Linked DNA regions of Macaca mulatta. The protein of the gene in region 1 purifies or fractionates together with the protein of each later gene. This does not show direct contact. Links are inferred from orthologs where the notes say so. Each region holds a gene or a part of one and is shown in the gene's direction. Other genes may lie near its edges.

Region 1 (3,500 bases):
CCAGAGCCACCACGCCTGGCCTCTGATTTTTATTTTTTATTTTTCTTATTTTATTTACTTTGAGACAGGTTCTTGTTCTGTCACCCATGCTGGAGTGCAGCAGTGCAATCTTGGCTCACTGCAATCTCCACCTCCTGGGTTCAAGCAATTCTTGTGACTCAACCTCCCGAGTAGCTGGTATTACGGGCATGTGCCACCATGCCTGGCTAATTTTTGTATTTTTAGTAGAGACGGGGTTTTGCCACGTTGGCCAGGCTGGTCTCGAATTCCTGGCCTCAAGTGATCCACACACTTCGGTCTCCCAGAGTACCAGGATTACCAGTGTGAGTCACCATACCTGGCCCCTCTTTGATTCTTGTAAGTGATGCTCTAAGTAACTGATCTCTTCTTCCTGTACAGTTTTGATGGTGACGACTTTGATGATGTGGAAGAGGATGAAGGGCTAGATGACTTGGAGAATGCTGAAGAGGTCAGTATTCAGCCTCAGGCTCCCACCTCTGCAGCCCAAGCTGCCAAATAGTCTGGCAGGTGATAATTAGCTGAACGTGTCTACCTTCTGTTTGTGGTCAAGGCCCCTGCCATAAGCATTCCCAGTTAGAGTGAGCTGTGTTCCAGTCTTGCATAGCAGAACAGCCCTGCAGGGTGGACCTGAAAGCTTTTGTCCATGTGGTCCACAGCCTGTGGCTTCTGGGGCAGTTAGTTCACTGACAAGTTAAACAGTGCCTTCCTTCATTCGGCAAACACGTGTTGAATGTTTATTATGTGCCAGGTGCTTTCTGCAGGGTGGGACTAGTTAGGGAGCAAAAGGAAGAGGTAAGCAGGGCTCAGATGAGGCAGTATTTTGTAGCCTAAAGGCAATGGGAAGCTACTGACAAATTTTGAGCCAGGGCACAGTCCAGTTTACATTTTAGAAAGTGCAATCCTGCCTTGAGTAAGGAGTGAACTGGGGAAGGGCAAGAGTGGAAGGTGAGAGGCCTGTGGCTTGGATATAGGTGCTGGTAGTGCAGGTGATGAGAAGACACATGAAAGAGTTATTGCGGTGGGTTGGTTATGGGGCTGAGAAAGTGAGCGGTGACAAGGACGACTCTCAGGTTTCTGGCTTGAGCAACTAGGTGGATAGGTTGCTAGCCTCATGAGGAAAGTAGGGCTTTCTGTCCTGTGTGACTGATGAGGGAAAAAAATGCAGTTATGTCCTGGAGAGACAGGGAGCCCTCTCTCTCTCTGCATGGCACTTTCAGATACCTTTTCGCTTGAGTCAGATGTGTCCTTCTCCATCATTCTGGTCGCCTTCCCATCACTGTCATGTAGATTGTGCCTTCTGGATGTACTTCAGCCCTGTCTGCATTTTTCTACTCCTGGTGCCTTAGGCTGGCTTAGATCTCATTGCTTTTCAGCCACATTCCTGCAGGAATTGTGTGGCTGGTTTTCCTGCTTCAGTCTCACTCCAGACTGCTCTGAGTGCTCTTCTCCTTTCAGCGCCCTTTCTTACTTGCCCACGTGCTCAGTTACTACTGGCTTTCCTAAATGGCCTCTCTGCTTCTGCCACTGCCCCCTGCAGAATATTCTCAACAGAGTATCCAGAGTGATCCTTTCTTTATGTTGTTGTTGTTTGTTTGCTTGTTTTAAATTAAGAAGTGGTGTCTTGCTACGTTGTCTAGGCTAGAGTACAATGGCTATTTGCAGGTGCGGTCATAGCGCACTACAGCCTTGAACTCTTGGGCTCAAGTGATCCTTCCAGTTCAGCCTCTCAAGTAGCTGGAACTGTAGGTTCTGCACCACCATGTCCAGCTCAGAGTCAACCTTTTTTTTTTTTTTTTTTTTTTGAGACAGAGTCTTGCTCTGTCGCCCAGGCTGGAGTGCAGTGGTGAGATCTGGGCTCACTGCAAGCTCCGCCTTCTGGGTTCACGCCATTCTCCTGCCTCAGCCTCCTGAGTAGCTGGGACTACAGGCGCCCGCCACCACGCCCGGCTAATTTTTTTTTTTTGTATTTTTAGTAGAGACGGAATTTCACCGTGTTAGTCAGGGTGGTCTCGATCTCCTGACCTTGTGATCCGCCCACCTCAGCCTCCCAAAGTGCTGGGATTACAGGCGTAAGCCACCGTGCCCGGCCTGTTTACTTAATTCTTTATATACCACAGAATTTATTCTCCTGCCTACAATCCTCTACGCACCTTTCATTCTAATTATTGTCCACAACTAGCTGTCCAAACCTCTTTCTCCTCTGTGCCTTTGCATGTTGCCTCCTTCCTCGTTGGTTTGACAGCTGCTGCTCATCCTTCTAGGTGAGCTCAAATCTCATCCCTGGAGTTTTCCTGACTCCCAGTGTGAGGTGTCCCCACCTCCTTGGGAACTCTGTTGCACACTGCATCCCTTCATAGCACCTGCTCTGTTTACTCTTGTCTCCCCCTTTAGACCATTAATTCTTTGAGAGCAGAAATTCCTAGCTTGCTTTCTCAGTATCTGTTAATGATATCTGATTCAGGACAAATACTTAGTAAGTAATTGTTAAATATTCCTGTCTTCACCTTGATTTTTCTAGTCACTTGACCCATTGGCTTAGCTCCCCTATCTGAAAGATGGGGAGACTATTCCTAGCTTCCTGCTTAGGGTAATTTTTTTGTGCCAGGACCTCTTTTACAGGACCAGTGTTCTGAGACCACCCCATCTCCAGGCCCTCTGCTCTCTTCTGGATGAGGCAGCCAGCTCTGGAATCTCAGTCATGGTCCTCCATTACAAGGTCTCAGGCTATGTCAGGTTAGCTGACTTTCCAAGCCTCTGAAATGAGAACTGTAATCCCTGTCTCATAAGGTTATTGTAAGGATTACATGAGTCGTTAGGAAGCAGTCATGCAGTACCCTGGTATGCAGTAAGCATTAATGGTGGCAGTAGCGGGGATTATGATTGTTGTCATTATCACCCTCCCTGTAATCCAAAAATGCCACCTGAGATTTTCCCTCTTTTTTGTCTTGGTGTCCAGGAAGGCCAGGAGAATGTCGAGATCCTCCCCTCTGGGGAGCGACCGCAGGCCAACCAGAAGCGAATCACCACACCATACATGACCAAGTACGAGCGAGCCCGTGTGCTGGGCACCCGAGCGCTCCAGATTGCGTGAGTGATTGCCCCTTCACTGTCTTCTCCATCTGTCAGACCACAGTGAGCTCCTGTACCGCTAATCTTGCCCAGCCTGGCACCTGAAAACACTCTCTGCTCTCACATTCCAAAGGTGGTGCCGTCCCTGCGTACCAGGCATTGTGCTAGGCCCCTGCCCTCAGGGAGCTTGTGATCTAATAGGAGAACTAGGATATGAACATCTGAGAAGTCAAGTAATAGTATGGGAGAAAAATGATTAAAAAAAAAAACAAAACAGAACTAGATGGTTGCCTGTCACATTCGTGCAGCAAAAAAGGTGAATTCAGAGCCAATGGGTACCAGTGATTCTTTTTTTTTTTTTTTTTTGAGATAGAGTCTCACTGAGTCGCCTAGACTGGAGTGCAATGGCA
Region 2 (4,081 bases), on another chromosome or scaffold:
TAGCCAGGCTTGGTGGCACATGCCTGTAGTTCCAGCTACTCAGGAGGCTGAGGCAGGAGGATCACTTGAACCTTGAAGGTGTAGGTTACAGCGAGCCAAGATTGCACCACTGCATTCCAGCCGGGGCAACAGAGTGAGACTCTGTCTCAAAAAAAAAAAAAAAAAAAAAAAGACACACATACACCAAACAACAACAAAACAATTTACAGAGTGAAGTCCTGCACTGGGAGGGATTTAGACTAGATGACCTCTAAGGGTCCTCCGAATTCTAAGATTCTGTGCTTCCAAGTGGTGTTTAAAAAGATCAATCTGGCCTCTCGTGGTGGCTCATGCCTGTAATCCCAGCAATTTGGGAGGCCGAGACATTTGGATCACTTGACATAATGAAATTCCATCTCTTAAAAACAAACAAATAAACAAACAAAAAAACAAAACAAAGAGCCAGGTATGGTGGCACACACCTGTAGCTCCAGCTACTTGGGAGGCTAAGGCAGGAGGATCACCTGAGCCCAGGAGGTTGAGGCTACAGTGAGCCATGATCACACCACTGCACTCCAGCCTGGGTGACATAAAGAGACCTTGTCTAAAATAAAATATAAAATAAAATAAAATAAAATTTGATTGTAATGTCTCTTTTCCCCTGGTTGACAATGAAATTGATGACTCATCCCTGTGCTCCCACAGTGTCTGACACTATCTTTTTCATGGTAGATGATTAATAAATGTTTCGCTGAATGCATTTCTTTGGATTGAATTGGGGCCTGGTCAGGTTTGGAAGGCCAGAGATAGAAAGAATTCAAAGGTTATACATATAAATGCAGTTAGTGACTGGGCATAGTGGCTCATGCCTGTAATCCCAGCACTTTGGGAGGCTGAGGCAGGAGGATCACTTGAGCCCAGGGGTTCGAGGCTAGAGTGAGCTGTGATTGCACCATTGCACTCAAGCCTGGGTGACAGAGTATCTCTAAAAATAAAAATAAATAAATGCAGATAGGAATAAACATCAAATTGTCTTAGGGATGTAGAGTTTTGTCCGAGGGTCTAAGCACTTTCTCCTTTGTGCTAAACTATATTGTAATTATCTGACCTGTTTGGGGGACCATGTCTCATTCATGTTTATGTTTCCAGAAATTCTCTCTCTGACACTGTGCCTTCTCAGTCAAAATTTGTTGAATGACATTGACTTTTTATGTCCCAGCGATAAAAGATTGAATGTCTTGTACCTCCTTGGCTTCCTGTCCATTCTACTACATTTCTTTTTCTCTTTGTTTTTGTCTTTATCAGGTTTTTTCACTGGATCTCTGAACACCCAGGCCCCCTCCACCATGGCCAGCCGGGGTGGGGGCCGGGGTCGTGGCCGGGGCCAGTTGACCTTCAACATGGAGGCCGTGGGCATTGGGAAAGGGGATACTTTGCCCCCACCCACCCTGCAGCCTTCTCCACTCTTCCCTGTGAGTCTCTCCACTTCCTTCCCAGACTCTCATGTGCCCCTGGCTGACTGTACATGATTCTGAATTCCTCCTGGACCATCATAAAACCATCCTCACTGGCCCTCTCTGTCTCTATACTCCCAATGCACAAGGGATGTTTTGCAGTCAAAGAAGTGTCCACCTTTATTTCTCCCCAGCTTTCAAAATGATATGTTACTCTCCCCATTCTCTTTCAGCCCTCTGCTCAGGGGAATATTAGATTAAATTGGGAGGAGGGGTCTTCCTAAATTTGTACTAGCATTTTCTCCCTGAACAGACCACTGCCCCTGCCTCTTTAGCCTTTGGAGTTCCGCCCAGTACCTTTGCCTTCAGGAGAGGAAGGGGAATATGTCCTGGCACTGAAGCAGGAGCTACGAGGAGCCATGAGGCAGCTCCCCTACTTCATCCGGCCAGCTGTCCCCAAGAGAGGTCAGTTGGAATGCTAGCATCATATTCTGAGTGCCTTCCGTGGGGAGTGCCCTGTGCTCAGCACCACTGGGGGCTGGAGAGGCACAGGAAGCATACTGTCTAACTGGGGAGATCATAATAGTTACTCCTGCATCTGAAATGCATTATAGTATTCATGGTTTGTTTTGAGTCTCATGATAGTTTTGGGACAGCGGGAGGTTAAATATTAAAATCCCATTTCTTGTGTGTAGGTGGGGGGATGTATTTTCTAAAAATTTATATATTTTTTATTTTTTTGTAAAATAGAGATGGGGTGTTCTTATGTTGCCCAGGCTGGTCTTGAACTTCTGGGCTCAAGAGATTCTTCCGCCTTGGCCTCCCAAAGTGCTGGGATTACAGGCATGAGCCACCGTGCCCAGCAAAAATTTTAACAATCTGGATATTAAAAGCACCAACCAACAACAGAATACTGAAATCGGCCGGGCGCGGTGGCTCACGCCTGTAATCCCAGCACTTTGGGAGGCCGAGGCGGGCGGATCACAAGGTCAGGAGATCGAGACCACGGTGAAACCCCGTCTCTACTAAAAATACAAAAAATTAGCCGGGCGCGGTGGCGGGCGCCTGTAGTCCCAGCTACTCAGGAGGCTGAGGCAGGAGAATGGCGTAAACCCAGGAGGCGGAGCTTGCAGTGAGCCGAGATCGCGCCACTGCACTCCAGCCTGGGCGACAGAGCGAGACTCCGTCTCAAAAAACAAAAAACAAACAAACAAACAAAAAAACAGAATACTGAAATCCTGGTTTCTTTTTTTTCTTTTTTTTTTTTTTTTTTGAGACGGAGTCTCGCTGTGTCTCCCAGGCTGGAGTGCAGTGGCGCGATCTCGGCTCACTGCAAGCTCCGCCCCCTGGGTTCACGCCATTCTCCCGACTCAGCCTCCCAAGTAGCTGGGACTACAGGCGCCCGCTACCACGCCCGGCTAATTTTTTTGTATTTTTAGTAGAGACGGGGTTTCACCGTGTTAGCCAGGATAGTCTCGATCTCCTGACCTCGTGATCCACCAGCCTCGGCCTCCCAAAGTGCTGGGATTACAGGCTTGAGCCACCGCGCCCGGCCGAAATCCTGGTTTCTTATTCCCTAGCATACTTTCCACTGCATCACACTATTTCTTAATACAGCCATGCCTTTGAACTAAGGGACAGAAAAAAAAAAAAAAAGTCATCATGGCCGGGTGCGGTGGCTCACGCCTGTAATGGCCAGCACTTTGGAAGGCTGACATGGGTGGATCACTTGAGGCCAGGAGTTTGAGGCCAGCCTAACCAGTATGGAGAAACCCTGTCTCTACTAAAAATATAAAAATTAGCCAGGCACAGTGGTGTGAGCCTGTGGTCTCAGCTACTCAGGAGGCTGAGGCACGAGAATTGCTTGAACCTGGGAGGTGGAGGTTGCAGTGAGCTGAGATCTCGCCACTGTACTCTAGCCTGGATGACACAACAAGGCTCTGCCTCAAAAAAAAACAAAAACAAAAACAAAACAAAACAAAAAAACACTGGCCAGGTGTGGTGGCTCACACCTATAATCCCAGCACTTTGGGAGGCTGAGGTGGGCAGCTCACGAGGTCAGGAGTTCGAGACCATCTTGGCCAACATAGTGAAATCCTGTCTGTACAAAAAAAAAAAATACAAAAAATTAGCCAGGCCTGGTGGCAGGTGCCTGTAATCCCAGCTACTTGGGAAGCTGAGGCAAGGAGAATTGCTTGAATCTGGGAAGTGGAGGTTGAAGTGGACCGAGATTGCGCCACCGCACTCCAACCCTGGGCGACAGTGTGAGACTCCATCTGAAAAAAAAAAAAAAAAAATCATAATTTTAGGTGGAAAAGAAACAGGTTAGAAGAGTGATAAGGGGCCGGGCGCCGTGGCTCACGCCTGTAATCCCAGCACTTTGGGAGGGCGAGTTGGGTGGATCACGAGGTCAGGAGATTGAGACCATCCTGGCCAACATGGTGAAACCCTGTCTCTACTAAAAATACAAAAATTAGCTGGGCGTGGTGATGTGCGCCTGTAGTCCCAGCTACTCAGGAGGCTGAAGCAGGAGAATCACTTGAACCTGGGAGGTGGAGGTTGCAGTAAGCTGAGATTGCACCACTGCACTCCAGCCTGAGCGACAGAGCAGGACTCTGTCTCAAAAAAAAAAAAAAAGAAAAAAAAAA
Region 3 (3,500 bases), on another chromosome or scaffold:
CAAACATCAGCCGTGTGTGTGTGTGTGTGTGTGTGTGTGTGTGTGTGTGGAGAGAGCGCTTATGAGTTACACATATGTATCTTGAAAGCTTGTGGCAGGTTTGTGTTGTGTCAGCTTATTTCTAACAGGAGAGCGTCAATCTGATGGTAACCCAGTGTCACCTGTAGCCAGGACGCTTTGTGGGTCACACCCTCATACCTACCCAGAGTTGGAAACCCAGGAGATGTCTGTGGTTTTAGGCACAAGGCATATTTAGTTGTTACTGTGATTGGGCATCCAATAGTCTATACTCCTATTTTTTAGTATAGTCATGTGTCACTTAATGATGGGGATATGTTCTGAGAAATGTATCCTTAGGCAATTTTGTCATTGTACAAACATCACAGAGTATATTTGCATAAACCTAGATGGTATAGCCTACTACACACCTAGGCTATATGCTATAAGCTGCTGTTCCTAGGCTGCAAACCTATACAGCATGTTACTATGCTGAATATTATAGGCAATTGTAACACAATGGCATTTGTGTATCTAAATGTATCTAAACAGAAAAGGAATAGTAAAACTATGATATTATAATCTTTTGGGACCGGCTGGGCATGTTGGCTCATGCCTATATCTCAGCACTTTGAGAGGCCAAGGTGAGAGGATCACTTCAGGGCAGGAGTTTGAGACCAGCCTGGGCAACATACCAAGACACTGTCTCTACAAAAAAATAAAAATATTAGCTGGGGTGATGCACGCCTGTACTCCCAGCTATTTGGGAGGCTGAGGCAGGAGGAGTGTTTGAGCCTAGGAGTTCAAGGTTACAGTGAGCTATGAATGCACCACTGCCTCAGTGACAGCAAGACCCTGTGTCAAACAAAATCTTACAGGACCATTGTCACATATGTGGCCTGTCATTCACCAAAAGAACGTAATGTGGGACATGACTGTATTTGCTTAGTCATGCTTTTTTTTTTTTTTGAGACAGGATCTCGCTCTGTCACCCAGGCTGGGGTGCAGACCTATGATCTTGACTCAGTACAACCTCCATCTCCTGGGTTCAAGCAGTTCTGCCTCAGCCTCCTGAGTAGCTGGGATTACAGGCGGGCGTCACCATGCCCAGCTAATTTTTGTGTTTTTAGTAGAGACGGGGTTTTTCCATGTTGGCCAGGCTGGTCTTGAACTCCTGACCTCAGGTGATCCACCCTCCTTGGGCTCCCACAGTGCTGGCTGGGATTACAGGTGTGAGCTACCGCACTCAGCTTGTATTTGCTTAGTTCTTTTTTTTTTTTAGATGGCGTCTCGCTCTGTCACCCAGGCTGGAATACAGTGGCTCGATCTTGGCTCCCTGCATCCTCCACCTCCTGGGTTCAAGGGATTCTCCTGCCTCAGCCTCCCAAGTAGCTGGGGTTATAGGTGCCCGCCACCACACCTGGCTAATTTTTGTGTTTTTAGTAGAGACAGGGTTTCACCATGTTGGTCAGGCTGGTCTTGAACTCCTAACCTCATGATCTGCCCGCCTTGGCCTCCCAAAGTGCTGGGATTACAGGCGTGAGCCACCATGCCCAGCCAGTTTTTTTTTGTTTTGTTTCGTTTTGTTTTGTTTTGAGATGGAGTCTCACTCTATCGCCCAGGCTAGAGTGCAGTGGCGCAATCTCGTCTCACTGCAACCTCTGCCTCCCAGGTTCAAGCTGTTGTTCTGCCTCAGCCTCCTGAGTAGCTGGGATTACACCATACTCAGCTAATTTTTGTATTTTTAGTGGAGGTGGGGTTTCACTGTGTTGGCCAGGCTGGTCTTGAACTCCTGACCTCAGGTGTTCTGCCTGCCTCGGTCTCCCAAAGTGTTGGGATTACAGGTGTGAGCCACTGCATCTGGTCACTTAGTTCTTATTTTCACATTCCAATTCCAGCTTTCCCTGTCTCTCCCTGAGCTTTCAGCACAATTTTTGTTTTCTAAGGTCATGTTAAATCTACGTCCTTAGGCCTCCGGCTGTGTTTTCTTGTCACTGCCCCATCACCAGCATCTCTTGTGCAGGGCAAGCTGCAGGCTGAAGCACACCAAGCATGTTTTCATTTCGATGTGGCCGTTCTGCTTTGTGGGCCCTGCTTCTCTTACCACCTGGTTCTGGTCATTACAGTGGCCCAGCTCCTGGCTTTTCTCTCAACTCATGGTGGAGGTGTGGCCTGAGGGTTTTGAGAGAAAATGATCAAACTCAACTTTGTGTTGTAGGTGCCCTGGGACCTGGAGTTCCCCACATCATCAACACCAAACTGCTGAAGCACTTTACCTGTTTGACGTACAACAATGGCAGGTCAGGGGGTGGTTTCTGGGATTTTTCCTGTGCAGGAGAAAGTGAGTGAGGGTTGGGAGTGAGCAGCAGGGGCTTGGACTCAATTCCACGTCCACAGAGATGCAGTGCTGAAGAGACTGCTGCCATTTGGAAGGCTCCTGGGGCCCCAGTAAGTTTAGCAAACGCTAAATATGACATACTCTGTCCTTTTTGGAAAAGTATTACTTTTGGGGAATCTTAGAAGCTCTGGGAAGTCCTCCAATAAAGACTTGTTTTACTTCACATACTTTTGAAGAGCCCTTCCTGATGTCCCACAGAGCTGGTGTTTGCGGAAAGGCAGTGTTGCAGAAAAGGGCAGCCCAACTCGGTGACTCAGGAAAGACCCGCAAGCGTTGCCCCGGGCTTCCTTCCTGCCATTTGCCTGGAGTATGTTTTCTGCTCTAGAGTGTGCTTGGAAGAATCAGCACAGCTGATTTCGGGATGATTGTTTTCCCAGCAGCCCTGCTGAGCAGGCGGGGACAGACTCAGCGCTAGCGGTGTCCAGGGAGAGTGTAGGCCCAGCCTTCTCTGTCTGCCTCAGAGGGAAACATGGACTGGCCCACTGCTCCACTGTGCGTGAGGCCCAGGAACCTTGGAAGGGCAAAGAAGTCACCCACATTCCTTTTCCTTTCCTGAAATTGGGAAGACATTCAGTGCATATGAGAATAGGGTTGAATGTTCTTATTTTGCTTTTGGAGAAATTGAGAGTTTAATTTTGTTTCTCCTTTATTGCCACTGATTTTCTAGATTACGGAACTTAATTTCGGATTCTATGAAGGCGAAGATTACTGCATATGTGATCATACTTGCCTTGCACATACGTGACTTCCAAATTGACCTGACAATGTTACAGGGGGACTTGAAGCTCAATGAGAAAAGGTGAGCACAACAGAATAAAGAGCTCCCTGCAGGGTGCCTTGATGTCTTATTTCTGGTACCACTGGAAAGCATGAGGCACCACCAAGGGAACTGAGGATGTTTAAATGTGGGAACAACTTGGAACTAGAGGACTATTTTCAGTGAATGAATCATTGACTGAATGAGTAACTAGACATTACTGAGTGCCTTCTCTGTGCTAGGCACGGTCTTAAATTATGTCATTATCTCACTGATTTCCCTAGAAAACAATTGAAAAATCAGGCTCAGAAAAGTACATGACTTTCTCAAGGTTACACAACCAAGAGG
Region 4 (3,500 bases), on another chromosome or scaffold:
TAATCCAAGCTACTCAGGAGGCTGAGGCAGGAGAATTGCTTGAACCTGGGAGGCAGAGGCTATAGTGAGCTGAGATTGTGCCACTCCACCCCAGCCTGGTAGACAGAGCAAGATGCCATCTCAAATAAAAAGCCAACTTAATTGTTGCATGAAAGATAGTTAAGCCAGTATGCATCCCAGAACCATTAATAAGTAATTTTGTGAGATTTTTCTACAGCTAGGTCTGGCAGCCTATTTTTGTAAATAAATTTTATTGGAACACTGCTGTTCATTTACATGTCTGTGGCAGATTTCTAGGTAATATTGCAGAGTAGGTGAACAGGAAACGTGACGTACAAAGCCTAACATATTACTACATGACCTTATAAGAAAAATTTGTGGCCGGGTGTGGGGGCTCACCCCTGTAATTCCAGCACTTTGGGAGGCCAAGGTGGGTAAATCATGAGGTCAGGAGTTAAAAACCAGTCTGGCCAAGATGGTGAAACCCCATCTCTACTGAAAATACAAAAATTAGCTGGGCGTGGTGGCAGGCTCCTGTAATCCCAGCTACTTGGGAGGCTGAGGTAGAGAATTGCTTGAACCTGGGGGGCAGAAGTTGCTGTAAGCCAAGATCATGCCACTGCACTCCATCCTGGGCAACAGAGCGAGACTCCATCTCAAAAAAAAAACAGAAAGAAAAATTTGCTGGCTGGGTGTGGTGGCTCACGCCTATAATCCCAGCACTTTGGGAGGTGGGCGGATCACCTGAGGTCAAGAGTTCGAGACCAGCCTGACTGACATGGAGAAACCCTGTCTCTACTAAAAATACAGAATTAGCTGGGCGTGATGGTCCATGGCTGTAATCCCAGCTACTCGAGAGGCTGAGGCAGGAGAATCACTTGAACCTGGGAGGCAGAGGTTGCCGTGAGCCGAGATCGTGCCATTGCACTCTAGCCTGGGCAACAAGAGCAAAACTCCGTCTCAAAAAAAAAAAAAAGAAAAAAAATTTGCTGACATATGTTCTAGAGCAAAACATTTGCAAACTGAGGTTTATGAATATAAATTTATCTGGAAAATAAGTGCTTTGCTTTAAAATAAGATTTATAACAAATAGCACTTTTTATAACAGGTGTAGGTTTGGGATCTAAGTCAGTAAGGTTTAGAAATTGATAGGTCAAGAGATTTTTCTTTTTTTTTTTTTTTGAGACAGAGTCTCATACTGTCACCTGGGCTGGAGTTAGTGTGATCTCGGCTCACTGCAACCTCTGCTTCCTGGGTTCAAGCAATTCTCCTGCCTCAGCCTCTCAAGTAGTTGGGATTACAGGCACCCACCACCACGCCCAGCTAATTTTTTTTGTGTTTTTTTTTTTTAATTAGAGATGGGGTTTCACTATGTTGGCCAGGCTGGTCTCAAACTCCCCACCTTGTGATCTGCCTGCTGCGGCCTCCCAAAGTGCTGGGATTACAGGCGTGAGCCACTCTGACCAGCCAAGATTTTTCTAATGGTTCCTTAATTAAAATAAATTATGTATCCTTGTAATTGCCATATGAAGCCCCCAAGGAAGACATTTTCTTTGAGATGGAGTCTTGCCCTGTCACCCAGGCTGGAGTGCAATGGGACGATCTTGGCTCACTACGACCTCTGCCTCCTGGGTTTCAGTGATTCTCCTGTCTCCCTTTACTGAGTAGCTGGGATTACAGCCGTACACCGCCACGGCTGGCTAATTTTTTGTATTTTTAGTAGAGACACGGTTTCACCATGTTGGCCAGGCTGGTCTCAAACTCCTGACTCCCAAGTGATCCACCCGCCTCGACCTCCCAAAGTGCTGGGATTACAGGAGTGAGCCATCACGCCTGACCTAAGGAGGCTTTTTTTTTTTTTTTTTTTTTTTTTGTTGAGACAGAGTCTTGCTCTGTCACCAAGCTGGAGTGCAGTGGCATGATCTTGGCTCAATGCAACCTCCGCCTCCCTAGTTCAAGCAATTCTCCTGCCTCAGCCTCCCAAGTAGCTGAGATTACAGGCCACGTGCCACCACACCCAGCTAATTTTTGTATTTTTAGTAGAGATGGGGTTTCATTGGCCGGGCGCGGTGGCTCAAGCCTGTAATCCCAGCACTTTGGGAGGCCGAGACGGGCGGATCACGAGGTCAGGAGATCGAGACCATCCTGGCTAACACGGTGAAACCCCGTCTCTACTAAAAATACAGAAAACTAGCCGGGCGAGGTGGCGGGCGCCTGTAGTCCCAGCTACTCCGGAGGCTGAGGCAGGAGAATGGCGTAAACCCGGGAGGCGGAGCTTGCAGTGAGCTGAGATCCGGCCACTGCACTCCAGCCCGGGCTACAGAGCAAGACTCCGTCTCAAAAAAAAAAAAAAAAAAAAAAAAAAGAGATGGGGTTTCACCATGTTGGCCAGGATGGTGTCGATCTCCTGACCTCATGTTCCAGCTGCCTCAGCCTGCCAAAGTGCTGGAATACAGGCGTGAGCCATTGCGACTGGCCCCTAAGGAGGCATTTTCTGAGTTCCATTATTACCAATCTTTTAGTTCAGTTTGAAATTCAATTATTTGGACTCTTGTTTATAGTTTGCTTTTGTTGTGTGATTCATAAGAGACTGACAATTTTATGTTGGGTTAGATTTTTATAATGTATTTACCCAAAGCTCTGGTATTTGATAGAACTATTTTTGCCTTATACGATTTGCCCTACCTGGAAACTGCTTACTGCAGAACTCTGATGGTTTATCTAAATCTCAGGTCTCATTCAGCAGCTATTGAAATATTAACTTTGTTTTCTTCCTTATCTTGCAGATGTATGTCCATCCCTGTGACGATGAGGGCTATTCGGAGGAAAGCTGAAACCATTCAGGCCGACACCCCAGCACTGTCCCTCATTGCAGAGACAGTTGAAGACATGGTGAAAAAGAACCTGCCCCCGGCTAGCAGCCCAGGGTATGGCATGACCACAGGCAACAACCCAATGAGTGGTACCACTACACCAACCAACACCTTTCCGGGGGGTCCCATTACCACCTTGTTTAATATGAGCATGAGCATCAAAGATCGGCATGAGTCGGTGGGCCATGGGGAGGACTTCAGCAAGGTGTCTCAGAACCCAATTCTTACCAGTTTGTTGCAAATCACAGGGAACGGGGGGTCTACCATTGGCTCGAGTCCGACCCCTCCTCATCACACGCCGCCACCTGTCTCTTCGATGGCCGGCAACACCAAGAACCACCCGATGCTCATGAACCTTCTTAAAGATAATCCTGCCCAGGATTTCTCAACCCTTTATGGAAGCAGCCCTTTAGAAAGGCAGAACTCCTCTTCCGGCTCACCCCGGATGGAAATATGCTCGGGGAGCAACAAGACCAAGAAAAAGAAGTCATCAAGATTACCACCCGAGAAACCAAAGCACCAGACTGAAGATGACTTTCAGAGGGAGCTATTTTCAATGGATGTTGACTCACAGAACCCTATCTTTGATGTCAACATGACAGCTGACACACTGGATACACCACACAT
Region 5 (3,500 bases), about 77 Mb from region 1:
ATAGTTTAAGAGATAGAGTACTATAGATCATTTTAGAGATCTGGCTTCGAGTCCCAGCATCTTAGCTGACTGCATATTGAAACCTGTCATGTAGGGTTTTTTTGGCGGGGAGGAGGTCTTAGTTCCCACACCCAAGAGATAAAGTGCACGCTATTTTTTATTCCAATGGAAAGTAAAAAGACTACTTAATGAAATACGGTTGTCCCTCCATATCCATGGGGGTTTGGTTCCAAGACCTTCTGAGAATACCAAAATCCAAGGTTGCTCACGGCCCTTAAATAAAATGGTGTCGGATTTGTCTATAACCAACGAACATCTTCCCATATACTTTAAATACTCTCTAGATTACTTATCATAGCTAATGCAATGTAAATGCTGTGTTAATAGTTGTTATTCTGTATTTTTTAAATTGTGGGTTTTTAATCGTTATTTTTATTGGTTTGTGGGGTTCTTTGGTCTGAGTATTTTCCATTTATGGTTGGTTAATCCACAGATACAGAACCCACAGATATAGGGGGCCAACTGTAATATAAATGAAAGCACTTGAAATTCTCAGAGGCAAGGAACGATTTTTTCACGGATGATCTTCAATATCTCTTTCTGCTTGTTTTGTCTGGAGAGCTTTTGCAGGAACAGGCATTTAGAAAGCCTTTGCCAGATTCCTCCCTTGTACCACTTCCTTACCTCGGGTAATTGAGTAGTGTCCTGTCTTGCTGACAGGGTGAATACCTTTGGATTTCTTGATCAATCAACTCATTGTTTGTCCACAGGTTCTGGCTTATTCTTAGACTCTGTATATTGGGAGAGAAACTGTTAACCTCCCCCAGAAATGTTTCTAATCATACCTATGTGATTTGTATATTTTCTCTATTTTTTGATCTCATTTGTACTTAGACAAAGAGGCAGCTGAACGTCTTTCAAAAACAGTAGATGAAGCATGTCTGTTACTAGCAGAATATAACGGGCGCCTGGCGGCAGAGCTGGAGGACCGTCGCCAGCTGGCTCGGATGTTGGTGGAGTATACCCAGAATCAGAAAGATGTTTTGTCCGAGAAGGAGAAAAAGCTAGAGGTGAGTCCATTAAAAGGCAGACCCAGACTGTCCACGTTTCCCTTCCTGTAGCCCACATTAGGAGGTTTTTATTATGCTTTAATTAACAACATTTTTATCATTTAAAAATTCATGATGTGAATTCTGAATATCCATCAGATACTGTAGTTATTTGAGCACAGTTAAAAATTGAAGTCATGTTCTTATATGTCCAGGACAGAACAAACTGGATTGTAGGAAACAAACAGTGAACTCTTAATCACAACCTTAGGATCTTAATACTGCTTTCGTTTGAACTCATGTTTAAAAAAATTATAAATTGAGGTATAAAAACAATAGCAAATCAGTGAAAACCAAAGAGTATGTTTGGTGGTAGTTGGGAAGTGCTGAAAAACGTTTCTTTTAAGGCATTTGGAAGGTTTTTTTTGTTTTTGTTTTGTTTTTTGTGTGTGTGTGGTTTTTTTTTTTTTTTTTTTTTTTTGAGATGGAGTCTCGCTGTCGCCCAGGCTGGAGTGCAGTGGTACGATCTTGGCTCACTGCCACCTCCACCTCCCGGGTTCATGCCATTCTCTTGCCTCAGCCTCCTGAGTAGCTGGGACTACAGGCATCCACCACCACGCCCGGATAATTTTTTGTATTTTTAGTAGAGACGGGATTTCACCATGTTAGCCAGGATGGTCTCGATCTCCTGACCTCGTGATCCGCCCGTCTCAGCCCAGAATGCTGGGATTACAGGCATGAGCCACCGCGCCTGGCCATTTGGAGGTTTATTTCTGACTTGTATCCATGCTGTGGCTGAGAAGTTGTCTGCCTCCAAGATCTATCTGTAGTCAGCTCTTAAATTTCACAGTAGTATTTATAAAGCACAGTTCTCAAACTGTAGAGGAAGAACTCATTTCTACCCTGGGTTGAGGACATTAGTCCGAGTGACCTTGGGGAGGGAGTTCAGAAACATTTCCTCCCCATACACTTGTTTGGTTTCGTAGTTAAGTGCATGGTGGTTTACCCTCAGTGCTTGGTCCCATGGGATAACACAGCCAGCAGTGTGAATGTTTGGGAACTTTTGCTGCCCCGGGCTGCTGCACTTCCTTTTCAGGAATGTCTGCTCTTCTTTTTTCAAGAGATATGGAAAAGAGTTGCAGCCAGTGGTTTTGTAAAGGAGGACACTTCTGAGTTAGAGAGCCGGTCATGTTGTATTTCAAGAAATACTTCTTAAATCCCTCTCAGAGTAGACAAGGGACAAGGAGAGCCATGTCACCTCCATGCTCAGGAAACATGCTCTGGCACAGAAGGAGGGAACATTGAGCTAGCTCTGAGGCTGAGATCATTGTATTTGCCTTTCAGCACGGTCATCTGACTTGAGGGGAAATGAGTGGCAGGCACTTTTTACCGTATCCTTACCTGCAGTGATTCTGGGAACCGTGTTGCATAGTGGTAGCAGGAACTTCACATTCGTAGCCTGCTTGAATGTGGAAGGTGCGAAAGGGCTGTCAACATCCTACGGCTTAGATTTAGACATCGGCACTGACCAGAGATCCTAAAGGGAGTTTCACAGGCAGTACCAGACGGTCATTTATCTGAAATGCTCATCTTTCACTGAGGAAGCATTTTCAGCACTGTGCCCCGGGACTAATAAGAGAGTGTAATTAATGATTCTGGTTGTAAGTCACCATGCCATCTGTTGAACTGCCCCTTGGCGACACATTAAGGGCTTTCTCTGATCTGTCAGACATTGATTATCATGAGCAGCTGTTGTTGGGTGGAACGTGGCAAGCAACCATAGAGGGCAGAGTCTTTGAGGAGATCGGGTTGGTAGAGCTGGTTAACTCTTTGTTCTGTTTTCCCTCCCCATAGTTGCACTTTCCTCTGTGTATTGTTGGGGAATCATTCTGGTTTTTGTAGAACTAGTGGTTTGCTGGACACCATGAGAGGGCATTAAGGTGGAGAAACAGATTAGAGCTTTGGATGCGTCCTGTAACTTTCTAGTCTACATTGCTCTGCCTGGTTCATTCAGTGGAATGGTGTTGGCATTCCGTTGCTGAAGAAGCGGAACAGGAAGGCCCCACCACTGGAACCAAAGTACAGAGTCTGAACTGAAGGTTCTTATCTCAAACCATGTCTCCCAGGCATATGAGCAGAACCATTTATTGTAAAAATAGAGCCGATTTGCTGCATTAAAGAAAGCAAATGACTAGATACAATATAAGGTTTTTTTCTGAGATGGAGTCTCACTCTGTCACTCAGGTTGGAGTGCAGTGACGTGATCTCAGCTCACTGCAACCTCCACCTCCCAGTCTCAACCAATCCCCCGTCTCAGCCTCCTGGGTAGCTGGGATTGTAGGCATGTACTACTACGCCCGGCTAATTTTTTTTATTTTTTTTTATTTTTAGCAGAGACAGGGATTCACCATATTGGCCAGGCTGGTCTCGAACTCCTGACCTCAAGTGATC
Region 6 (3,500 bases), on another chromosome or scaffold:
TAGAAAGATTATTATAGCATAGCAGTTCCTAACCTGTACTACTCCATGGATGGATTTCAGAGAGTCTGCTTGTACTTATGTGCATTTTTCAGTGAAGCTCTCCATACCTTTCATTACATTCTTCAAAGGAACTGTGACCCAAAACAGTTTAAAAAAAAAAAAAAAAGAAATGGGAAGAATGATGCAAAACAAAATTAGAAGGAGAAAACCCAGTTATTCCTTTTATAGTGTCTGCTATGTTTTAAAGGGGAAAAAAACAAGAAAAAAGAAAAACCAGTTAGGAGGTTATTGTAGTAATCCAGATGGGACAAGATTTAGAGTCTGAAATAAGGTAATGATAGGAGAGAGAAAAGTAGACATCTGATAACTATGAAGAGTAGATAGAACTTGGTAATGTGGTAGATTATGGACAGCAAGGGACTAGGGGTGATACCCAAGTTTGTAGCTTAAGAAATTGGGTTGGCCGGCCAAGCACGGTGACTCACGTCTGTAATCCCAGCACTTTGGGAGGCCGAGGCAGGTGGATCACCTGAGGTCAGAGTTCAAGACCAGCCTGGTCAACATGGTGAAACCCCGTCTCTACTAAAAATACAAAAATTAGCCGGCCATGGTGGTAGGTGCCTGCAATCACAGCTACTTGGGAGGCTGCGGCAGGATAATGGCCTGAACCTGGAAGGCAGAGGTTGCAGTGAACCGAGATTGCACCACTGAACTCCATCCTGGGTGACAGAGCGAGACTCTATCTCCAAAAAAAAAAAAGAGAGAAAGAAAGAAATTGGGTTGTCTAGGCACAGTGGCTCTCGCCTGTAATCCCAGCATTTTGGGAGGCTGACGCAGAAGAATCACTTGAGCCCAGGAGTTTGAGACCAGCCTGGACAACATAGACCCTATCTCTACCAAAAAAAAAAAAACCCACCAGACCTGATGGCACATGCTTGTAGTCCCAGCTACTGAGGGGCTGAGGTGGGAGGATCACTTGAGCCCAGGAAGTCAAGGCTGCAGTGAGCCACAATTGTGCCATTGCACTACAGCTTGGGCAACAGAGCAAGACCCTGTCTCAAAAAAAAAAAAAACTGGGATGGTTATAGTGCAGTTACCTGAAAACTTACAAAACAGAACAGTTTGGAGAACAAGTGAAAGTGTCAAATAGGCAGCTGAGTCTATGCATCTGAAGCCTAATAGAGGGTTCTAGGATAGGCCGGGTGCGGTGGCTCATGCCTGTAATCCTAGCACTTTGGGAGGCCGAGGCGGGTGATCACCTGAGGTGAGGAATTCGAGACCAGCCTAGCCAACATGGCGAAACCCCATCTCTACTAAAAATATAAAAACTAGCCAGGCATGGTGGCACAGGCCTGTAATCCCAGCTACTCAGGAAGCTGAGGCAGGAGAATCGCTTGAACCTGGAGGGTGGAGGTTGCAGTGAGCCGAGGTTGTGCCACTTCACTCCAGCCTGGGCAAAAGAGCAAAACTCCGTCTCAAAAAAAGAGAGAGAGGGTTCTAGGATAGAGTGACATATTTGGAAATGCACCAATAGTTGAAACCTGGAGAGCAGATAAAATTACCCAAGTAGAGCATGTAGAATAAAAAGAAAGGAAAGGTATGGATAGAACCCTGGCAAAACACCAGTATTATAGGTGGGATCTGAAAGAGGAATCGGTGGAGACTGAGGAAAGGTGGCCAGAAAGGTTCAAAGTAGCACCAAGAAAAAATAGTGTCAGCCAGGCCCAGTGGCTCACACCTGTAATCCTAACACTTTGGAAGGGCAAGGCTGGCGGATCACTTGAGCCTAGGAGTTTGAGACCATCCTGAGCAACATGGTGAGACCCTGTCTCTACAAAAAATACAAAAATTACCCAAGCGTGGTGGCACACACCTGTGGTCCCAGCTACTTGGGAGGCTGAGGTGAGAGGATCACCTGAGCCCAAGGAGGTCAAGGCTGCAGTGAGCTACGATCACACCACTGCTCTCCAGCCTGGGTGACAAAGACCCTGTCTTTAAAAAGAAAAAAAAAAAAATGGTGTCATAAAATCCAAGGAGCCACATAAAGTTTTAAGAAGGAAAAAATGTCCAACCATGTCATATGCTTCCAAAAGGTTAAATAAGATCAGAAGTGGAAAGTATTATTTGAACTTAACAACATAGAGTCCTCAGGGACAATTGTGGAATTTCACTGGAATGCAAGTGACAATTGACATTTCAGTACAATGGTGGAAACGGGTTAAGTAAATCTAGATAGAGATAACAGCTGGGATGGCCAACTGTTTGAGAAGCTTGGCTGTGACAGTAAGGAAAAGAAGAGAAGGCATAGGGTTGAAGGAGAATTCTAGAGTAAAAGAGACTTGGACAGGGTAAAGGCTGATAAGAAGGCAGTAGAGAAGGAAAGGCTGAAGATGTTAGAGGACAGGGTAAAATAGAGCTGGATCGCCAAGAATGAATGAGAGAGTAAGATCTGGAATACCAATATGGGCATTAACCTTAGGTAAAAGGAACATTTTTCAGCTGTGATAAAAGTGAGTGAAAATATGAGTTAAGAACAAAAAAGAAAGAAATGTGGTGAGGATGTGCACAGAGCTGAGTAAGTTCTGGCTTAGTGGCTTCTATTTTCTCTGTGAAATCAGAGGCAAAGTCATCTGCCAAGAGTGAGAAGGAAGAAGGGTCAGGTTGGAGACTTGAGGGTAATGGAGAAGAGTTAAAATAGGGAGAGAAAGGGCGGTCATGGTGGCTCACGCCTGTAATCCCAGCACCAGCCTAGCCAACACTGTAAAACTCAAACTCTACTAAAAATAGAAAAATTAGCCTAGCTCAGTGGTGGTTGCCTGTAATCCCAGCTACTCGGTAGGCTGAGGCAGGAGAATCGCTTGAACCCGAGAGGCAGAGGTTCCAGTGAGCCGAGATCATGCCACTGCACTCCAGTCTGGGTGACAAGAGCAAAACTCCATCTCAAAAAAAAAGTAAAATAATAAAATAGGGAGAGAAAGATTGGAGATGAGCTTAGAGAACCTGTTTGAAGTTGGGATTTGTCTAGACACCAATCTACATGACTGAATGATTTTTCTCCAACCAATTTAGTTGTTACTGTGTAGGAAAAGAAATGGTGAACCATTAAATCCAAGCTCCTCACCAGAAAACTTTACATTATATCTAAATGTTTCTCTCTAAATCTTTTCTCTTCCTCAGCCCATTCCAGATGACGGGATTTATTGGCAGGCCAACCTTGACAGATTCCACCAACACTTCCGTGATCAAGCCATTGTGAGTGCAGTTGCTAACAGGATGGACCAGGTAATACCTAAGTGGGTCTGTCATTGGTCATCAGGGACATTTACTTATTTGTCATATCTGGCCATTGGCACAGAGAGCCGGGGGCAGCACTGTGATTTCTGAATTCTAGTTTACTTTTCAAACAGACGAGCAGCGAGATTGTGCGAACCATGCTCCGAATGAGTGAGATTACCACTTCCTCTAGTGCTCCCTTCACCCAGCCATTGTCTTCCAATGAG
Region 7 (4,187 bases), on another chromosome or scaffold:
TTGGCCAGTTATCCCAGGACGGGAAATCTATCCCAGGAATATAATCCGAAAGAAAACAAAAACCAAAACAAAATTGAAAAAAAGCACGTCGAATGTACCAGATATTCACTACAGCATTATTTAAAACAGGGAAAAAAGAAACAATCAGGGAAATACTTAAATCATGATACAGCCACTGGAGAACTATGCAGTCTTTGATGCCGTAACAGAGAAATGTTATTTGAAAAAGCAGGATACAGGCCAGGCGCAGTGGCTGACGCCTGTAACCCCAGCACATTGGGAGGCCGAGGCGGGTGGCATCACTCGAGCTCAGGAGTTCAAGACCAGTGTGAGCAACACAGTGAAATCCCGTCTCTACCAAAAATACAAAAAAAAAAAAAAAAAAAAGAAAAAAAAGAAAAAGAAAAAGAAAAAAGAAAAAAAAAATTAGCCGGGCGTGGTGGCATGTATTTAGAGTCCCAGCTACTTGGGAGGCTGAGGTGGGAGCATGGCTTGAGGCTGGGAGGCAGAGGTTGCAGTATGCAGAAACCTCGCCTCAAAAAAAGAAAAGAAAAAGGATACGAAATTGTGATACAACTCTGTGAAGACTACTAGACACATTACAAAATTTTTAATAGTAGTACTCTACGTGGCATTCTGGTAGAAACGATTTCCTTTCCTCAAACTCCCCGTAATAATGTTTTTATACAGTCTGGGGGGATGGGAGATAACATTAAACGACACTTTTTATATCACAAACGCTGGAGTCAATAAAAGTTCTTTAAATTCCTCCAGCAGTAGAGCAAACTTGGTATTCCGATTCTGTCCAGGCTTTGACCAAGAGCGCACCCGAGGGCCACCGCCTTCGTGATCCCAAGCGGGTGTGACTGGGCACCAGTTGGTCCACTGCGGCTGTTCCAACGCTGCCCTCACAGCCTCACCCCAGGACTCCACCAGGAGCACAGGGAAGGGGTCCCCGAGAGTGGGCGAGGTCGCTGCCCGGAGGTAGTGACCACTCCAAGGTCACCATGGAGAACCCGCAGACAGGGCTCCGCACGGCCCAAGACTCCCCGACTCTAAGTCCAGGTCTCGCTCTCTGTGCCGCGCCCCTCGTCCCATCCCGAGCAGCTACCCCCAAGCTCCCAGGGGCTCCGCCGAGGCGAAGCCTCACATTGCGGCTTGGCGGCCGACAAGACCCGCGACCCTGATCTCGGCACCTCCACGCCACCGCCCGGGGGCCAAGACCCCCGAGCACCGCCACATAGCGTAGCCCAGACCGGTTCCCTCATCCTTTTTCGCCCTCTCAACCCAGCTTTTCCCGACTCCGGGAAGAACCGGGAAGAGAAGGCGGAGGGGAGCGAAGCGCCGCCTGATAAATACTGTGGCCCAGTCCCGCCCCCGAAACGTCACATCCGGCCCGTGCCAAGATGGCAGCGCCCAGGCGGTGCCACGCAGACTTCCGCCCGGTGCGGAGACCTAAAGCTGGCAGCGGGTCGCGTCGCAGGTGAAGTGGTGACGCGCGGTGTGGAGCCGCGGCCCGGGTGCGTCCCTGCCTGGTTCCTGGGCGGGGTTCCTGGAGAGAGGGCGTGTCGCGAGCCAAAGGCTCTCACCTGGGTGGTCCCGGGAATCTCGCCACGTGGGAGGGGAGGAGCTGAGAGGCCACTGGAGGGACGCACCGACTGGGGGACCGGAAAGCAAGGGGGTTGGGTTCCGCCAGGGTCCGCGTGTCAGTCCACTCTGGTAATCTCGTCCCCCCTTCTCTCCCAGGCAACATGTCGGAAGGAAACGCCGCCGGCGAGCCCAGCACTCCGGGAGGGCCCCGACCCCTTCTGACTGGGGCCCGGGGGCTCATCGGGCGGCGGCCGGCGCCTCCCCTCACCCCCGGCCGCCTTCCCTCCATCCGTTCCAGGGACCTCACCCTCGGGGGAGTCAAGAAGGTATCCAACGGCGCGTTTCTAAAGAAACTCAACTACCTTGAATTCCAAGCCCCGGCATTCAACTGATGTTTGTGTAGGGCCTACTATGTGTCAGGAGTGTCGTTGGGCCTCAAGCCTACCCCTCTTTAAATTCTAGGGAGCCTGTCCTATCTTCAAATCTAGGTACTGAGTACAAAATGTTGAAATGAGTCCCAGAGGTGGTTGAAAGACAGAGAATCCTAATAAGTTAAAGTCGTTCAAAAGTAATTTGAACAGTGTTTATTTACTCTTATTGTGTGTTTGGACATCTTTAAGAAACCCATGAAAGCCAGGCAGGCATAAACTTCACAGTCTTAGAGCGTTCAGAATTCACCATCTCAGTGTGCAAACTTGTTATCTAGAGTATCATGAATCCTAGGCATGGCATTCGAGGCTCTGTGGGCTGTCCCATGTGTATATGACTGTGGATGTCAAGAGTAGCCCAGAAAGGGGTGGGGTCAGGATGACAGAAGAATAAAGCAGGTTTTTGGGTTTTTTTTTTGAGACGAAGTCTCGCCCTAGTCCCCCAAACTGGAGTGTAATGGCATGATCTTGGCTCACTGCAACCTCTGCCTCCCGGGTTTGAGTGATTCTCCTGCCTCAGCCTCCTGAGTAGCTGGGATTACAGGTGCCCGCCACCATGTCCAGCTGATTTTTGTATTTTTAGTAGACACAAGGTTTCACCATGTTGGCCAGGCTGTTCTTGAACCCCTGACCTTGTGATCCACCCACCTCGGCCTCCCAAAGTGCTGGGATTACAGGCGTGAGCCACCGCTCCCGGCCAAATAAAGCAGTTTTTTTTGTTTGTTTGTTTTGTTTTTAACAGAGTCTCTTTCTGTCGCCCAGGCTGTAGCACAGAGGCACCATCTCAGCTCACTGCAACCTCCACCTCCTGGGGTTCAAGCGATTCTCCTCCCTCAGCCTCCCGAGTAGCTGGGATTACAGAGGCCTGCCACCGCACCTGGCTAATTTTTGTAGTTTTTAGTAGAGACGGGGTTTCACCATCTTGGCCAGGCTGATCTTGAACTCCTGACCTCATGATCCACCTGCCTTGGCCTCCCAAAGTGCTGCGATTACAGGCGTGAGCCACCACGCCTGGACATAAAGCAGTCTTTAGAAACCTAACTTTGCCTTGGAAAATATGGAAAAACACTGCCAACAGTGATTGAGAGTATTGGCAGATCTGTGGCCTTCCCTACTTAGGCCTTGCTGCTAGAGATGTTCCCCCATGATACTGACTGGTCTCTATAGCAGTTTGAAGATAAGAGGTGAGACCAGAGAAATTCCTTTGCTTTTAGAAGTCCCAGAGGACCTTCTTTCAGGATCTTCTTTCCTAAGGCTGCTGGTTAAAAATGGTTTTTGGTGCCCCTTTCTTCTATGCATAACTCCACTGCCGCCACACCATGACGTTCCTCCTTTTCAGGCACACGTGTATCTAGAAAACTGACAGCACTGTGGAATGTGCCAAAGAGAGTCATGGTGGCCGTGGTCTGTAGAAGATGCCCGTTGGGAGTTTTTATTTTCCTCTGTACTTTGGGGTCAGGACCTAACACATCAGTGACTCCTGTATTTTGCTTTCAGAAAACCTTCACCCCAAATATCATCAGTCGGAAGATCAAGGAAGAGTAAGTAGCTAGTCCTTCTGAATACTTGCCCCTTATTTACTTGCTCTGAATTTGGGGCTTTGGGGAGAAATAAGTAGGTTTGTGGCTCCAAAATTTAAATTTATATCTTTAGTTCTTTTCACTAGTGATTTTCAACCCTGGCTCCTAGGTGATTCTAATGTTTAAGCTTTAAAAAAAAAAAATACTGGTGTCTAGGGTTCCATCTCTAGAAATTGTGATTTAACTTGTTGGCAGTAGAATGGAGTGATTCTCTTTGATGGCCCGAGTTGAGAGCCAATAGTTTAAACAAAGATGTATCACGCTTTCCCTGAAGTTCCTTTGCATTTCTGCCTTCCTGCTTTCAGTCCCAATGCAAACAAAAATCTACATTTTTGGACAAGAACGTAAAGTAAAGCAAACTGAAAAAATCCTGCCTCATCAAGGAAGTGAGAAAAGTGCTAGAATTAGGATTGGATTCTGCTTCTCATGGTGTAATTATTGGCTCAAACTCTCCGCTGTCTTGGAGTGAAGTGGTATGGGAGAGTAAGGCCAGTTTTTGGAGACACAGTGAGTGAGTGGTTTCCCTTAATCCATTCTTTTTTCCAGGCCCAAGGAAGAAGTAACTGTCAAGAAGGAGAAGCGTGAAAGG

What was found.
Region 2: the proteins of POLR2F (region 1) and POLR3GL purify together in Homo sapiens (affinity purification with mass spectrometry; 3 studies listed by BioGRID and IntAct, with this or other methods). This does not show direct contact. The link is inferred for Macaca mulatta from reciprocal best matches to the Homo sapiens genes POLR2F and POLR3GL.
Region 3: the proteins of POLR2F (region 1) and POLR1E purify together in Homo sapiens (affinity purification with mass spectrometry; 4 studies listed by BioGRID and IntAct, with this or other methods). This does not show direct contact. The link is inferred for Macaca mulatta from reciprocal best matches to the Homo sapiens genes POLR2F and POLR1E.
Region 4: the proteins of POLR2F (region 1) and MED1 purify together in Homo sapiens (affinity purification with mass spectrometry; 3 studies listed by BioGRID and IntAct, with this or other methods). This does not show direct contact. The link is inferred for Macaca mulatta from reciprocal best matches to the Homo sapiens genes POLR2F and MED1.
Region 5: the proteins of POLR2F (region 1) and RPRD1B purify together in Homo sapiens (affinity purification with mass spectrometry; 4 studies listed by BioGRID and IntAct, counting the BioPlex papers as one, with this or other methods). This does not show direct contact. The link is inferred for Macaca mulatta from reciprocal best matches to the Homo sapiens genes POLR2F and RPRD1B.
Region 6: the proteins of POLR2F (region 1) and POLR3C purify together in Homo sapiens (affinity purification with mass spectrometry; 3 studies listed by BioGRID and IntAct, with this or other methods). This does not show direct contact. The link is inferred for Macaca mulatta from reciprocal best matches to the Homo sapiens genes POLR2F and POLR3C.
Region 7: the proteins of POLR2F (region 1) and POLR3D purify together in Homo sapiens (affinity purification with mass spectrometry; 5 studies listed by BioGRID and IntAct, with this or other methods). This does not show direct contact. The link is inferred for Macaca mulatta from reciprocal best matches to the Homo sapiens genes POLR2F and POLR3D.

What each region holds. Positions count from the first base shown.
Region 1 is NC_133415.1:13,546,478-13,549,977, reverse strand, and holds part of POLR2F (DNA-directed RNA polymerases I, II, and III subunit RPABC2), read left to right. Parts: intron 1-399; coding exon 400-469; intron 470-2,977; coding exon 2,978-3,108; intron 3,109-3,500. UniProt on the Homo sapiens protein: DNA-dependent RNA polymerase catalyzes the transcription of DNA into RNA using the four ribonucleoside triphosphates as substrates.
Region 2 is NC_133406.1:119,326,875-119,330,955, reverse strand, and holds the start of POLR3GL (DNA-directed RNA polymerase III subunit RPC7-like), read left to right. Parts: upstream 1-1,281; 5' UTR 1,282-1,325; coding exon 1,326-1,451; intron 1,452-1,768; coding exon 1,769-1,898; intron 1,899-4,081. UniProt on the Homo sapiens protein: DNA-dependent RNA polymerase catalyzes the transcription of DNA into RNA using the four ribonucleoside triphosphates as substrates. Specific peripheric component of RNA polymerase III which synthesizes small RNAs, such as 5S rRNA and tRNAs.
Region 3 is NC_133420.1:62,108,670-62,112,169, reverse strand, and holds part of POLR1E (DNA-directed RNA polymerase I subunit RPA49), read left to right. Parts: intron 1-2,215; coding exon 2,216-2,297; intron 2,298-3,062; coding exon 3,063-3,194; intron 3,195-3,500. UniProt on the Homo sapiens protein: Component of RNA polymerase I (Pol I), a DNA-dependent RNA polymerase which synthesizes ribosomal RNA precursors using the four ribonucleoside triphosphates as substrates.
Region 4 is NC_133421.1:63,746,349-63,749,848, reverse strand, and holds part of MED1 (mediator of RNA polymerase II transcription subunit 1), read left to right. Parts: intron 1-2,786; coding exon 2,787-3,500. UniProt on the Homo sapiens protein: Component of the Mediator complex, a coactivator involved in the regulated transcription of nearly all RNA polymerase II-dependent genes.
Region 5 is NC_133415.1:90,930,517-90,934,016, forward strand, and holds part of RPRD1B (regulation of nuclear pre-mRNA domain-containing protein 1B), read left to right. Parts: intron 1-894; coding exon 895-1,070; intron 1,071-3,500. UniProt on the Homo sapiens protein: Interacts with phosphorylated C-terminal heptapeptide repeat domain (CTD) of the largest RNA polymerase II subunit POLR2A, and participates in dephosphorylation of the CTD by RPAP2. Transcriptional regulator which enhances expression of CCND1.
Region 6 is NC_133406.1:119,464,809-119,468,308, reverse strand, and holds part of POLR3C (DNA-directed RNA polymerase III subunit RPC3), read left to right. Parts: intron 1-3,177; coding exon 3,178-3,282; intron 3,283-3,407; coding exon 3,408-3,500. UniProt on the Homo sapiens protein: DNA-dependent RNA polymerase catalyzes the transcription of DNA into RNA using the four ribonucleoside triphosphates as substrates.
Region 7 is NC_133413.1:23,888,820-23,893,006, forward strand, and holds the start of POLR3D (DNA-directed RNA polymerase III subunit RPC4), read left to right. Parts: upstream 1-1,387; 5' UTR 1,388-1,520; intron 1,521-1,746; 5' UTR 1,747-1,751; coding exon 1,752-1,916; intron 1,917-3,515; coding exon 3,516-3,559; intron 3,560-4,144; coding exon 4,145-4,187. UniProt on the Homo sapiens protein: DNA-dependent RNA polymerase catalyzes the transcription of DNA into RNA using the four ribonucleoside triphosphates as substrates.